3 linked regions of the Coturnix japonica genome follow. The protein of the gene in region 1 purifies or fractionates together with the protein of each later gene. This does not show direct contact. Links are inferred from orthologs where the notes say so. Each region holds a gene or a part of one and is shown in the gene's direction. Other genes may lie near its edges.

Region 1 (4,148 bases):
GAGGACTGTGCTTCTATATTCATCTCCGCCTCAAGCAGAATGCTCATTATTGGTTTCTGGGAGAATAAAGAACGCAACGGATCAATGCCATTAACCCAAGCTGCACTTAGAAGACAAAGCTGGTGCAGCTGTTGCACCGATGGTCTCAGGAGTACAGAAGCAGGGCTACACTTGGGGCTGTGGCAGACCTGCCAGAGCTCTCTGAGGGCACTTCCATCCAAAGAACACAGCCGGGGTAAAAGTGACAAATGCTGCAAGGATATAACACTGTGAGTTGCCTTCATTGCCCTACAAAATGAAGAAGACATTAACAGAACTTTCAACAGTGATCTGACCCAGTGACAGCATTTCTGCTTTGGCACGGTTCTAACAGCACCTGCCGTGAGGTAGTGTGGCACTGAGGGACATAGTCAGTGGGCACCAGGGGGTGGGGGTGGGTTGAGGTTGGACTCGTGGTCTTTTCCAACTTCTATGATTCTATTGTAGCTGGAGAAGGTTTGAGTGCTTAGGAGGAGAGCACCCGCTATCCCCCGAGTATCTCTGGCTGGCTGGCTGTAAGCTGTGGTGCCCCTTCCCTGGAGGGGCTCAAAGCCAGGTTGGATGGAACCCTGGGCAGCTGAGCACAGGGCTTGGAATGAATCAGCTTGGAATGAAGTGATATTTAAGGACTCTTCCAACCTGAGCCATCCTCCGATTCCACAATCTGTGTGTTTGATGTGAAGTATTGCTTTGTGGGGATGAGACGTTTTCTCAGGAGGATGTAAACTTCCATAGGGCAAACCTCCTGTGAGAGTTACCTGCTGCATGGGAGCTCTGGTTTCTGGTCAGACCAATGTTCAACCAGTCTCCTCTCCACTGAAATCCCAGCCCTGGTTTGGCAAAGGCAGAAATGTGCATCTATCTGGAGTGCCTCCTCACTGCTCGAGAGGCTGACAGACGAGGCAGTAACAGCCCTAAGAGCCCCATCCAACCTGGCCTTGGATCCCTCCGGAGATGGGGCGCACACATCCTCTGTGGGCAACCCGTTCCAGCGCCTCACCGCGCTCACACCAACGCATCGATCCCGATCACCCTCCCGCCTCATCCCGCTGTCCCCGTGCAGCACAGGCCCCGCCGCACGCAGCCTGCGGAGCCGGGCGGCTCCCCCAGCGCTCCGCACCCGCGGAACCTCCGCGTCGCTCGTGCCGCCGGGGGGCAGCCACCGCCCGGTCCGGCTCCGCGGGTGCGGGAGGGGGGGGGGCTCCGCGGGCGCGCAAGCCCCGTGCCGTCACGGGGCGGGGAGGAGGCGGCTCTGCGGCTGCATGTGTGTGTGTGTGTGTGTGTGTATATGTGTGAGTGTGTGTGTGTGTGGCGGGGCGTCGTCATCCGCATTCACATGGGGGAGGCGGGGGCCTCGGCCTGAAACCCCCGCCCGGGGAGGGGAGACAGCGATCCCATAAAGCCGCCCCCCCCTCACCCCCCTCCCCTCCAACCCAGCTCCGCGCGGCCATGACTTCGGCCGAGCAGACCGTTACGTGGCTGATCGCCCTGGGCGTGCTGGAGTCGCCCAAGAAGAGCATCGCCGACCCCGAGGGCTTCCTGCAGTCCTCCCTGAAGGACGGCGTGGTGCTGTGCCGCCTGCTCGAGCGCCTGCTGCCGGGATCCATCGAGAAAGTGAGTCGGGGGCAGCGGGCTTTGTCAGGCCGGGGGCGGCGGCATGGCGCGGGGGGCACGGCGGCGGCGGCCTCCGCCTTGGGGACCCCGGAGATTCGGTGCCGAGTTCCTCCCGAGGAGGATGGAAGCGGCGGGAGGGAACAAAAAGCGCTCCCTGAGCCCCGCGTCCGCCCCTAACGTTCAATTGAATTTCCTTGTAATGCGGGCTGTTGTCCTGCTTGCTTGCTTTATTTTGGCTTTCTGGGGGCCTCCGTGTGCCGGCACACCTCATGGAACCAACTTTCCCCATCTTGCTGGTGACTGTTGAAGGTCACCTGGCAGGTGGCTGTGGTCACCTGCCGTGTGTGTGTCTTTCTTGAGCCTCAGAGTTGGAAACCTTTGAGCTCTGTAGGGTGCTGGGTTTGGAGCAGGGTCCTTAGTTCCCCACAGGTTGTGGCTGTCACCGCTTTGTGCTGTTGTCCACCCTGCTCTGTTTGGTGACTTGGTGCTGTCCTCATGGACTGCAAGCAAATGGGGGATGTGGAAATGACCCCGGAGCTCACAGGTGTTATGGAAATGACACAGGAGTATTGAGTAACAACGGGGACAGCTGGCTGGGACAGCCATGGCCTGGAGCAGGCTGCACAGAGAGAGTGTGGAGTCTCCTTCTCTTGAATGACTCAGAACCCACCTGAATGTCCTGTGTGACCTCCCCTAGGGAACCTGCTTTAGCAGGGGTTGGACTTGATGATCTTCAGAGGTCCCTCCTGACCCCTGTGGTTCTGTTATTCTATGTGTGAGATGCAGCTGGAAATAATGCGTGTCCATTCCTTGGCACCAGTCACACAGTGGGGCGCAGACCCTCCTCAGGAATAGTTTGTTGGTGCATCCTTCCATCTGCATGACAGCCGTGGTGGTTTCCCAGCCTGTCTTGCTGTGCCTCCCAACCTCTGGTCTCCAGAGCCCCATGGAGCTGGGTGCTGAGCATTACAGCAACGCAGGGCTGTCCATGCACTTCTGGCAAGCCTGGGAGGATGATGGGGTCCTGAGATGGAGTAGGGAACAGGTTCTGCTGCAGGCGCACTGAAATAGAGATGAGTGATGGAAATAAGTAGCAGGAAAGCGTTTCCCAACTTCACGTGCTTCTGTGTACGGTGCAGCTAGGAGTGGCTTTGATGGGAAGGAGAGGCGTGCTCTTGTTATTGTGTCAAAGGAGGCAATGCTTGTGATACTAGGGTCCCTTCCCAATCCCAAACCTAAGGGGAGGCTGTGCAGGAGCACAGCTTCCCTCGGGAGCTGACAGTGGGGTGCTTTTATCCAATCTGCCATACAGGGATAAGCCAAATAGTGCAGGGTTGTGCAGAGGGTGGTGATGGGCTGGGATGGCTGGCAGAGGGGAGAAGGTCTTTCAGCCTGCCACCTACCCCAGCCAGCCTGTGTCCAGCCCTCTGCTAGAGCTCTGTGTATTTACTGATTTCTTTGTTTTGTGAGCAGACCTATATGTAGTTCTTGGCCTTTCTCATTGTGCTTTCTAGCCCAAAGGTGCCTTTGAAAGTCTCACAGACTTGTGTCCCAGTCCAACTCTGGGCTGGTCGGTGTCCTTCCTTGTAGATTACACTGTGTTCGTGTGCTGTATTTGTGCTGGGTAACTCCTTGTCAGGAAGCACTGGCTCCATTTGTTTACAGAACAGTTGCCTGTCTTGAGCAGCAGACAGGTATTCAATTCATCCGATTCCAGGAGCTGTGAATGAGAGCGAGTTGGAAGGCAGCATTACTATGCATTGCATCTCTTGCTTCTGAAGAGTGGCCACGAGGAGGTAAAATCAGGCAGGATTGTGCAGAGCAATGGTCCTGGTGAACAGTTTTGTAACATGGGAAAGGGGCAGAAGGCAGAGCAGTTGCCTGCAACCAACAATGAATTTAGAAGTGTCTGCAACTGTGTTCAGCTTTTCCTGTTGACTCTGGTCCGCTATCAAGGTGAGCAGAGCTAAGGATACTTGTTTTAGAGTTGTTTATTTAACTATGCACATACAGTAGAGTAATGCAGTGCTGATGATGCCAGTAGGTGCTCCTGAATCCTCATGAGTAATTTTGTATTTGCTTTCCTTCTTCAATTTCCTATGCATCCATCCATTTTCATATACGACATGCACAAGATCAGGATTAGCATTTTTAAGTATTCTAGAAAGTTTCAGAAGATGTCATAGAATCATCATAGAATGGTCAGTTTTAAGCAGTAATGGTCAGTAGTTCAGCAGTAGCCGAGAAGATACACCAAATCTCTTGAAATTAACCTGAACGTCAGTACTTTATTGCTGAACTGACCTTTCAAAACTGGGAATAAACATACACTGGTATACAACTAGAATAAATGGTAGGGAACTGTAACTGGGGGGTTGGACTTGATCTCTGGAGGTCCCTTCCAACCCCTGTAATTCTGTGATTCTATAACAGGGCAAAAGCAAAGACTGCCACCTCCCCCTGCCCAAACCCTCAACTCCTTAAAACTCAGCCGT
Region 2 (3,566 bases), on another chromosome or scaffold:
CACCTCCCTGTGCAGCCTGTTCCAGTGCTCCGTCACCCTCACTGTAAAGAAGTTCTTCCGCACAAAACTTCCTATGCTGTACTTTCTTTTCACATCACAAACTATCCCCTCATCAAGGTCGTTGATGAAGATGTTGAACAAGACCGGACCCAGTACAAACCCCTGGGGGACGCTGCTAGTTACAGGCCTCCAGCCAGACACCGCACCGCCAACGACAACCCTCTGCACTCTGCCAGTCAGCCAATTCTCGACCCACTTCACTGTCCAATCATCTGTCCCATACTTCTTCAGCTTTGTTATAAGGATGTCATGGGGGACAGTATCAAAAGCCTACTGAATCAAGGTAGGACTACATCTTACCGCCCTCCCACTGTCCACCCAGCTAGGTGACATCTTCATAAAAAGGCCACCAGGTTGGTCAAGCACGACCTCCCCTTGGTGAACCCATTGCTGGGTTACTCCTGATAACCTCCTTATCACCCAGTTTGTCTGGAGATGGCATCCAGCACAAGCTGTTCCATCACCTTCCCTGGGACAGAGGTGAGGCTGACTGGCCTATAATTACCCGGGTCTTCCTTCTTGCCATTTTGAAGACAGGAGTGACACTGGCCGTCCTCCAGTCTTCAGGCACCTCCCCAGTTCTCCAAGACCTCTGATAGATTACAGAGAGCAGCTCAGCCAGAGACCTCCGCCAGCGCTTCTCAGCACCCGCGGATGCACCCCATCAGGTCCCATGGATTTATGGACCTTAATGTTTCCTAGGGCACTCACGGACCACCTCTTTCCCTGACTAAAGGGAAATCTCCCATTCCCCGGACTCTCTCATCAACCTCCAGAGTCCGGGATTCCTGAGGGAGAGCCCTTTCACTAAAGACAGAAGCAAAGAAGGCGTTCAGTATTTCCGCCTTCTCAGCATCCCCTATTACCAGAGCGCCCCCCCTCACTTAGTATGGGGCCCACATTCTCCCTAGCCTTCCTTTTGCTGTTAACGTAGTTTTAAAAAGCCTTTTTTATTTATTCTTTATCTCCTTAGCTAGATTTCAACTCCAGGTGGGCTTGGCCTTCCTGGTCGCATCTCTGCAGTCACTGACTACTTCTTGTATTTTCCCAAGTGGTCAGACCCCTTTTCCCACATATCATGTACTTTCTTCTTTCCGCGGAGCTTGCACATGAGCTCCTTACTCATCCACGCAGGTCTCCTTGCACCTTTTCCCGATTTCTTAGTCACAGGGACGCACCGATCCTGAGCTTGGAAGAAGAGCCGTTTAAACGCTAACCAGCTCTCACAGGCCCCCTTGCCTTCTAGCACCCTGGCCCACGGATAGCCCCAAGTAGGTCCCAAAGGAGATCAAGTTTGGCTCTCCTAAAGTCCAGGGTAGCAATCCTACTTTTTGCTTTGCTTCCTCCACTCAGGATCTCGAACTCCACCATCTCATGGTCACTACATCCCAAGCTGCCCCCAACTTTTACTTCCTTAACAAGTCCTTCCTTATTGGTGAGAATAAGGTCCAGCAATGCCCCACCCCGCGTTGGTTCCTCTACCACCTGCATCAGGAAGTTGTCTTAAATGCACTGCAAGAATTGTCTGGACCGCGCATGCCTGGCCATGTTGGTCGTCCAGCAAATATCTGGATAATTGAAATCCCCCATAAGTACCAGTGCCTGGGAGTGTGCCGCTACTTCCAGTTGCTTATGGAAGGCCTCATCAACCTCCTCCTCCTGATCAGGAGGCCTGTAGTACACACCCACAACAGTGTCCCCTCTGCCAGCCTGGCCCTTGATTCTCACCCACAAGCTCTTGACTTCTACATTACTCTCCCCCAGGTGGAGTTCAATACATTCTAGCTGCTCTCTCACATAAAGAGCAACTCCACCACCCCGCCTTGCCAGCCGATCTTTCCTAAAAAACACATAGCCCTCCAAGACAACATTCCAGTCATGCGAGCTGTCCCACCACGTCTCCGTGATGGCAATGAGATCATGGCCACGTGAACGCACACAGAACTCCAACTTAGTAACTTAGTGTTACTAAGGTGTGTGTGACCAAATCCTTACACAAGTTAGATTAGGGAAAAAGCTTTTAACTGAAGCAAATTGGATCAAAAGATGAGAACTCGTGTCAGGAGGAAGCACAACTGTGATGATACTGTTTCTATTCAGCAATGTGTATTTTAACATGCTGGTAGTAGTTAATTTAAATGCATAGCTAGCTACAAGTAGATAGATTCCTGCTTTGTATTTTTGCAGGTTGGGGTGGGTTGACCCCAGCCAACAGCCCAGCACCAACATGTGTCCTAGAATCATAGAATCACAAGGTTGGAAAGGACCTACAAGGGCATCTAGTCCAACCATCCTCCCTTTACCATACCTACAGAAAACCACTAAACCATATCTCCTAGCTCCCTATCCAGACGCTTCTTGAACACTGCCAGGGATGGCAACTCCACCACCTCCCTGGCCAGGCCATTCCAGGTAGGGCCTCCTTACCTTCAGGCAAATCAACACCACCTCCCAACTTGGTGTTACCTGCAAACTTACTGAGCATACACTCAATTCCCTCATCTTTGGCAGGTCCCCTGCCAGCAGGGCTGCTCTGTGACTTACACCTGCTTTGTGTTTAACTTAACTGCTTGCTTCTCAGCCTATGTAGTTTTGGGGCTGGAAGAGTGCCAACGGAGAGCAAAGTTATGCACTTCTATTTTCAGTATTACAGAAATCTTAATAGGTTCGGTTTGATTTTCAGTTGTAATTTTTCTACCCCTAGCTAAGCAACCACTTATTTGAAGAACTTGCCATGGATGTGTATGATGAAGTTGACAGGAGGGAAACAGATGCAGGTGAGCGGAATTTGTATCAAACATGAACTGTTACATCACAAAGATGATACTAGTTGCAAGCATGTGTTAAGTAATTACTGATAGTGGTAGTTTCTTCTATTGCCTTCTCTTCATGCTCATTTAAGTGTTTTTTATTTGGTTAGTTTTATTTTATCAAAGTAAAGAGACGTCTGGGGGAGGGGAAAAACATCTTTGGTTGAATTGATTGATTTTTGTTCTTGGAATTGTGTTTTTTGTTTCTTTGACAAAATCATTACCAAATTACACAGGCAGTTTAATCCTTTGTTATTATTTCTTTCCCCTTCCTTGAGCAGTTTGGCTTGCTACTCAGAATCATAGTACTCTCGTGACAGAGACCACAGTGGTCCCTTTTCTTCCTGTAAATCCTGAATATTCCTCAACCAGGAATCAGGTACGTGATCTCCTTAGTACTACAAAACTATTCTTGTTTAATAAGCCTGTTATTCTAAACAATATTGCTCTACTGTACTTTATTATTGTAAAAGAGTTACAACTGCTTGTGAAGAGCATAAAAACTGTTTTGCATCGTCTCTTCCCTCGAGTTCTGCAGATGTTTAAATTGAACAGTCAGCTCACTGTAACTGCTGTAGTCTTTGTTTTGCCTGGAAACTGTGCTGTTCATTTAGTATATGACACACTTATTAATTTTATAAATATTATTCTCTAATTTAGGGAAGACAGAAGCTGGCTCGGTTTAATGCTCATGAG
Region 3 (3,566 bases), about 3.4 Mb from region 1:
AACTTCAGACTATGCATCTGGGGAGCTTCACTTAAATGACTTAACTGTGCACGATGGCAATTATTTATTGAATAATAGACTATTGGGTTTCTTAAGTAGCTGAGGCACTGAGCTGTGGAACAAAGACTAACACAAATTACGCTGTCAGCTGTATTTCAGTTTGTTCTTGAAACCACCATACTGTGCCTTCTTTTTGTTCACTTTTATGTAACTCTTTCTTTTTCTTTTTGAATTATTCCCAACAGCCCAGTGACTTCTCGGTATCTCTAAAAGCATCGGGGAAGAACAAACATTTCAAGGTGCAGCTCGTGGACAATGTCTATTGTATTGGGCAGCGTCGCTTTAATACTATGGATGAGTTGGTGGAACACTACAAAAAGGCACCCATCTTCACCAGTGAACACGGGGAAAAGCTATATCTTGTGAAAGCACTTCAGTGACGATGAAGATGGACTTGGCCACCCAGGCCCCTTCTAACTTCCAAGCCTTAGGTCCTAAAATCACTTTTATAGAGCAGAGCAATATCCGAAGCAGGCTTAAAGAGTAGGCTCTTTCTAACGTGTTTGCTCTGTTGGTTGTTATTTGTCCTTTTTCGTTTGCCTACTTTTGTGTTTCAGTTCTGTTAATCTCAGATCACCTCCCTTCAGGTTGAGAAGTTCACCTCTGTGGCCATTGTAAGCACTCACTTCCATGTCCGAGTTCTAAACTCCCCTCTTCTGTGTACGTTTACATACTTAGCTCGGATAAAGGAGGGGGGTTTGCAATTCAACCCAGTGTTAACCTGTTCAAATTGCTCACGCAGACAGACAGAACTCTTTGTTAAGAGACATCGGGCACAGTTTGAATGCACTGAGGCTGCAGCTAAGTAAGTGAGATATAGTAGACATAACAGTTGTGGCTGTGAGTTCTGTAGCTATATTGCTTACCAGGTAGTATATTACAAAAACTCCTAGTTCCTAGAAGCACTCTTTACACTGTACTCTGCTATTACATTGCCTCTCTGACTCTTTGCAAAGAGTACACTAATTAAAGCGTTTTGTAATAGTACTTCTTAAACTACTATGGTAAGATTGTAGTAAAAGAAAACTATCTAGTGTATTTTGGTCTGTAATTGCAACAAAGAGAAATTTTATTTGAAAGTTGATTACTAAAGAGAGAATCATTGAATTGTAAAGACTGAATGTTCTGGTAATCTACAACCAAATGTGCCATCCACATAATGCTTTTTTCCTCTTGCCCTTCTGCTTGTTTGAATTAAACAATTATGTATTTAATTCTCAAAGTAATATGTATCTGTAGCTGATTGTTGACACTAATACAGAAAATTAATAAAAACTGATCAGGGGACAGGGTGGGGTGGGCTACCAACACTATATATATATTTGCTTTACAGAAAGGAAACTTCAGGTTTTATGGAGGGTGGTGTGATTGGTAGGAAGAGACACACAGAATGTTTATGAAGAAAATGCTTTTTTCTCTTTTCTTTACATTTAAACTCCTTTATGGTTTAAATATACAGACTTTAGATGGCACACTCCTGAGATTGAAGAAGGGATCTTGAGATCTCAAAATCTTGCGTACTCAGTTTTTTGGATATTGTAATAAAAAAGGTATTATGTCATGATGGAGTACTGGGTTTATCCTTGGGTGGTAGTTCTGGCGTGGCTTTAGAAAGGTCAAATAGAGTAAATTCTGAATTTGCCTGTCTTGGAATGTGTGTGGCCTACAAAGAAAATATGTGCCACTGCAGAGTTCAGGTTGATACGAGGCGGTGTCTAATGAGCTCCACATTGATTCTCTCTGTGATTTGTTTATAGCTTTAATGAAAACTGCAAGATGGAGCTCTTTTATGGGACCTTTTTTTGCTATTAAGTCTTCCTTACAGATTTTTGTATTTCAGCCAGTGGTGATACATGCATAACTCCAGTGTAGGCAGAACAAGCACCAGCTGAGGGCTGCTCTGAAAGTAATGTCTCCTATTTATTATTATGAAGTCAGAGGTGGATATTAGTAGGACGGTAGTAGGGGCTGAGCATTCCCACCAACATTCTGTAACATTTTGCTGCTGTGTGACAGATGGCAGCACTCTGATGCAATGATGTCTGACATGAAAGTGTGTATGAAACAAAGGTGTCTAGTTGAATTCCTCCATGCAGAAAAAAATGGCACCCATTGACATTCATCATCATTTGCTGGAACTTAATGGAGACCAGACAGTGGATGTGAGCACAGTGAGGCGGTGGGTGGTGCATTTCAGCAGTGGTGACAGCAACATGAAAGACAAGCCATGTTCTGGATGGCCATGCAGATTTTTATGAGTGTGGCATGCAGGCTCTTGTTCATCGCTGGCAAAAATGCATAGCTGATGGTGATGACTGTTGAAAAAGAGTGTTTTGTAGCTGAGAATTTGTTCTATCAAATAGTGTTATTGTGCTCTTTGTATCTGTGGTAGTTTCGATGGAAGTAAATCGAGGCATTACTTTCAGAGCAACCAACGTACAACTTCATGAGTTATACACATGTTATTCTTCCACAGCTGCTCTTATTTCTGTGAGATTATCTGGATTAGAACTGTGTATGAATTAACAACTGTATGTGGGTAAACAAAAATCGGGCACTGAAACTTCTGCATGGTCCAGCTTTGTGAATAAGGGTAGTTATATAAGACAGACCAGAACAATCACTCTTCTTCATCCTGGCAAGAACATACCCATGGCTAGATTATGGGAGCAGAGAAATTTTCATTATGGAGTTGCTGAGAAGTGCCCCTTGTTTACATCCTTCTTGCCAGGACATCACAGTTGGTTTCTTCTTAACCTTTTAAGTGAGTTCTGCAGAGGCCATAGGGCTTTTGCTGTGTAATATCTAGTTACTCATTTAGCTCAATGTAAGCATGTACCTTGAGTATGACAAAGACATTAAGAAAGCCAACTACATGCTGTGTGTTTTCAGTTCGGAGTGAGTTGCTTTTCAGTCCCATTGCCTCTTTGTAGTGTTTCAAAAAGTGGTACGTGGGAATGTTTTTCAGTAAATCAACAACTACAGTTACTCTTTCATGTTGCCCCATGTTCATTTTTCTGAAACATTCACTGTATTTTGTGTTCCAAGAGTCTTTCTATGCCTCTTGCTGTGCGTTTCCTATTTTGCTTTTCTTTTTTCCACTGAAAGTTCCGAACCCCTTTCTAGTCTTGATAGATTAGAACTAAATCAAATAGACCTCCAAGTGAGATTTTTACCATATGCTCGATATTCTAAGGGATTTACAATCCTTTTATTTTTTTCTTCCACCTCTTGCCTTGTGAACAGCTTCTGAATATAGAGGCGCCAACCACTGGAGTATTTTGTTTGGAAGCAGTAACTAACGTTAATTTATGATCCAGCCTTATGAACAACTAGCTTGAATTATTTTTTTTTGAAACAAGCTTCATCTTGTTTTTGCCCACTCCGTATTTAATCAACATGCAGTCTATTCAGCAGGCTCATTAATAGGTCTTCAGTTGTTCCCAGTCCTTGCTAATTAAGATAGGTTTCTGCAAGTTTTACTGCCTTTTTGACCTCGTTTTCTG

The links. The genes of interacting proteins can lie anywhere in the genome.
Region 2: the proteins of ARHGEF7 (region 1) and GIT2 purify together in Homo sapiens (affinity purification with mass spectrometry; 6 studies listed by BioGRID and IntAct, counting the BioPlex papers as one, with this or other methods). This does not show direct contact. The link is inferred for Coturnix japonica from reciprocal best matches to the Homo sapiens genes ARHGEF7 and GIT2.
Region 3: the proteins of ARHGEF7 (region 1) and NCK2 purify together in Homo sapiens (affinity purification with mass spectrometry; 3 studies listed by BioGRID and IntAct, counting the BioPlex papers as one, with this or other methods). This does not show direct contact. The link is inferred for Coturnix japonica from reciprocal best matches to the Homo sapiens genes ARHGEF7 and NCK2.

Annotation. Positions count from the first base shown.
Region 1 is NC_029516.1:125,507,005-125,511,152, forward strand, and holds the start of ARHGEF7 (rho guanine nucleotide exchange factor 7), read left to right. Parts: upstream 1-1,320; 5' UTR 1,321-1,488; coding exon 1,489-1,653; intron 1,654-4,148. UniProt on the Homo sapiens protein: Acts as a RAC1 guanine nucleotide exchange factor (GEF) and can induce membrane ruffling. Functions in cell migration, attachment and cell spreading. Promotes targeting of RAC1 to focal adhesions. May function as a positive regulator of apoptosis.
Region 2 is NC_029530.1:5,995,488-5,999,053, reverse strand, and holds part of GIT2 (ARF GTPase-activating protein GIT2), read left to right. Parts: intron 1-2,764; coding exon 2,765-2,837; intron 2,838-3,151; coding exon 3,152-3,249; intron 3,250-3,530; coding exon 3,531-3,566. UniProt on the Homo sapiens protein: GTPase-activating protein for ADP ribosylation factor family members, including ARF1.
Region 3 is NC_029516.1:122,088,834-122,092,399, forward strand, and holds part of NCK2 (cytoplasmic protein NCK2), read left to right. Parts: intron 1-245; coding exon 246-440; 3' UTR 441-3,566. UniProt on the Homo sapiens protein: Adapter protein which associates with tyrosine-phosphorylated growth factor receptors or their cellular substrates. Maintains low levels of EIF2S1 phosphorylation by promoting its dephosphorylation by PP1.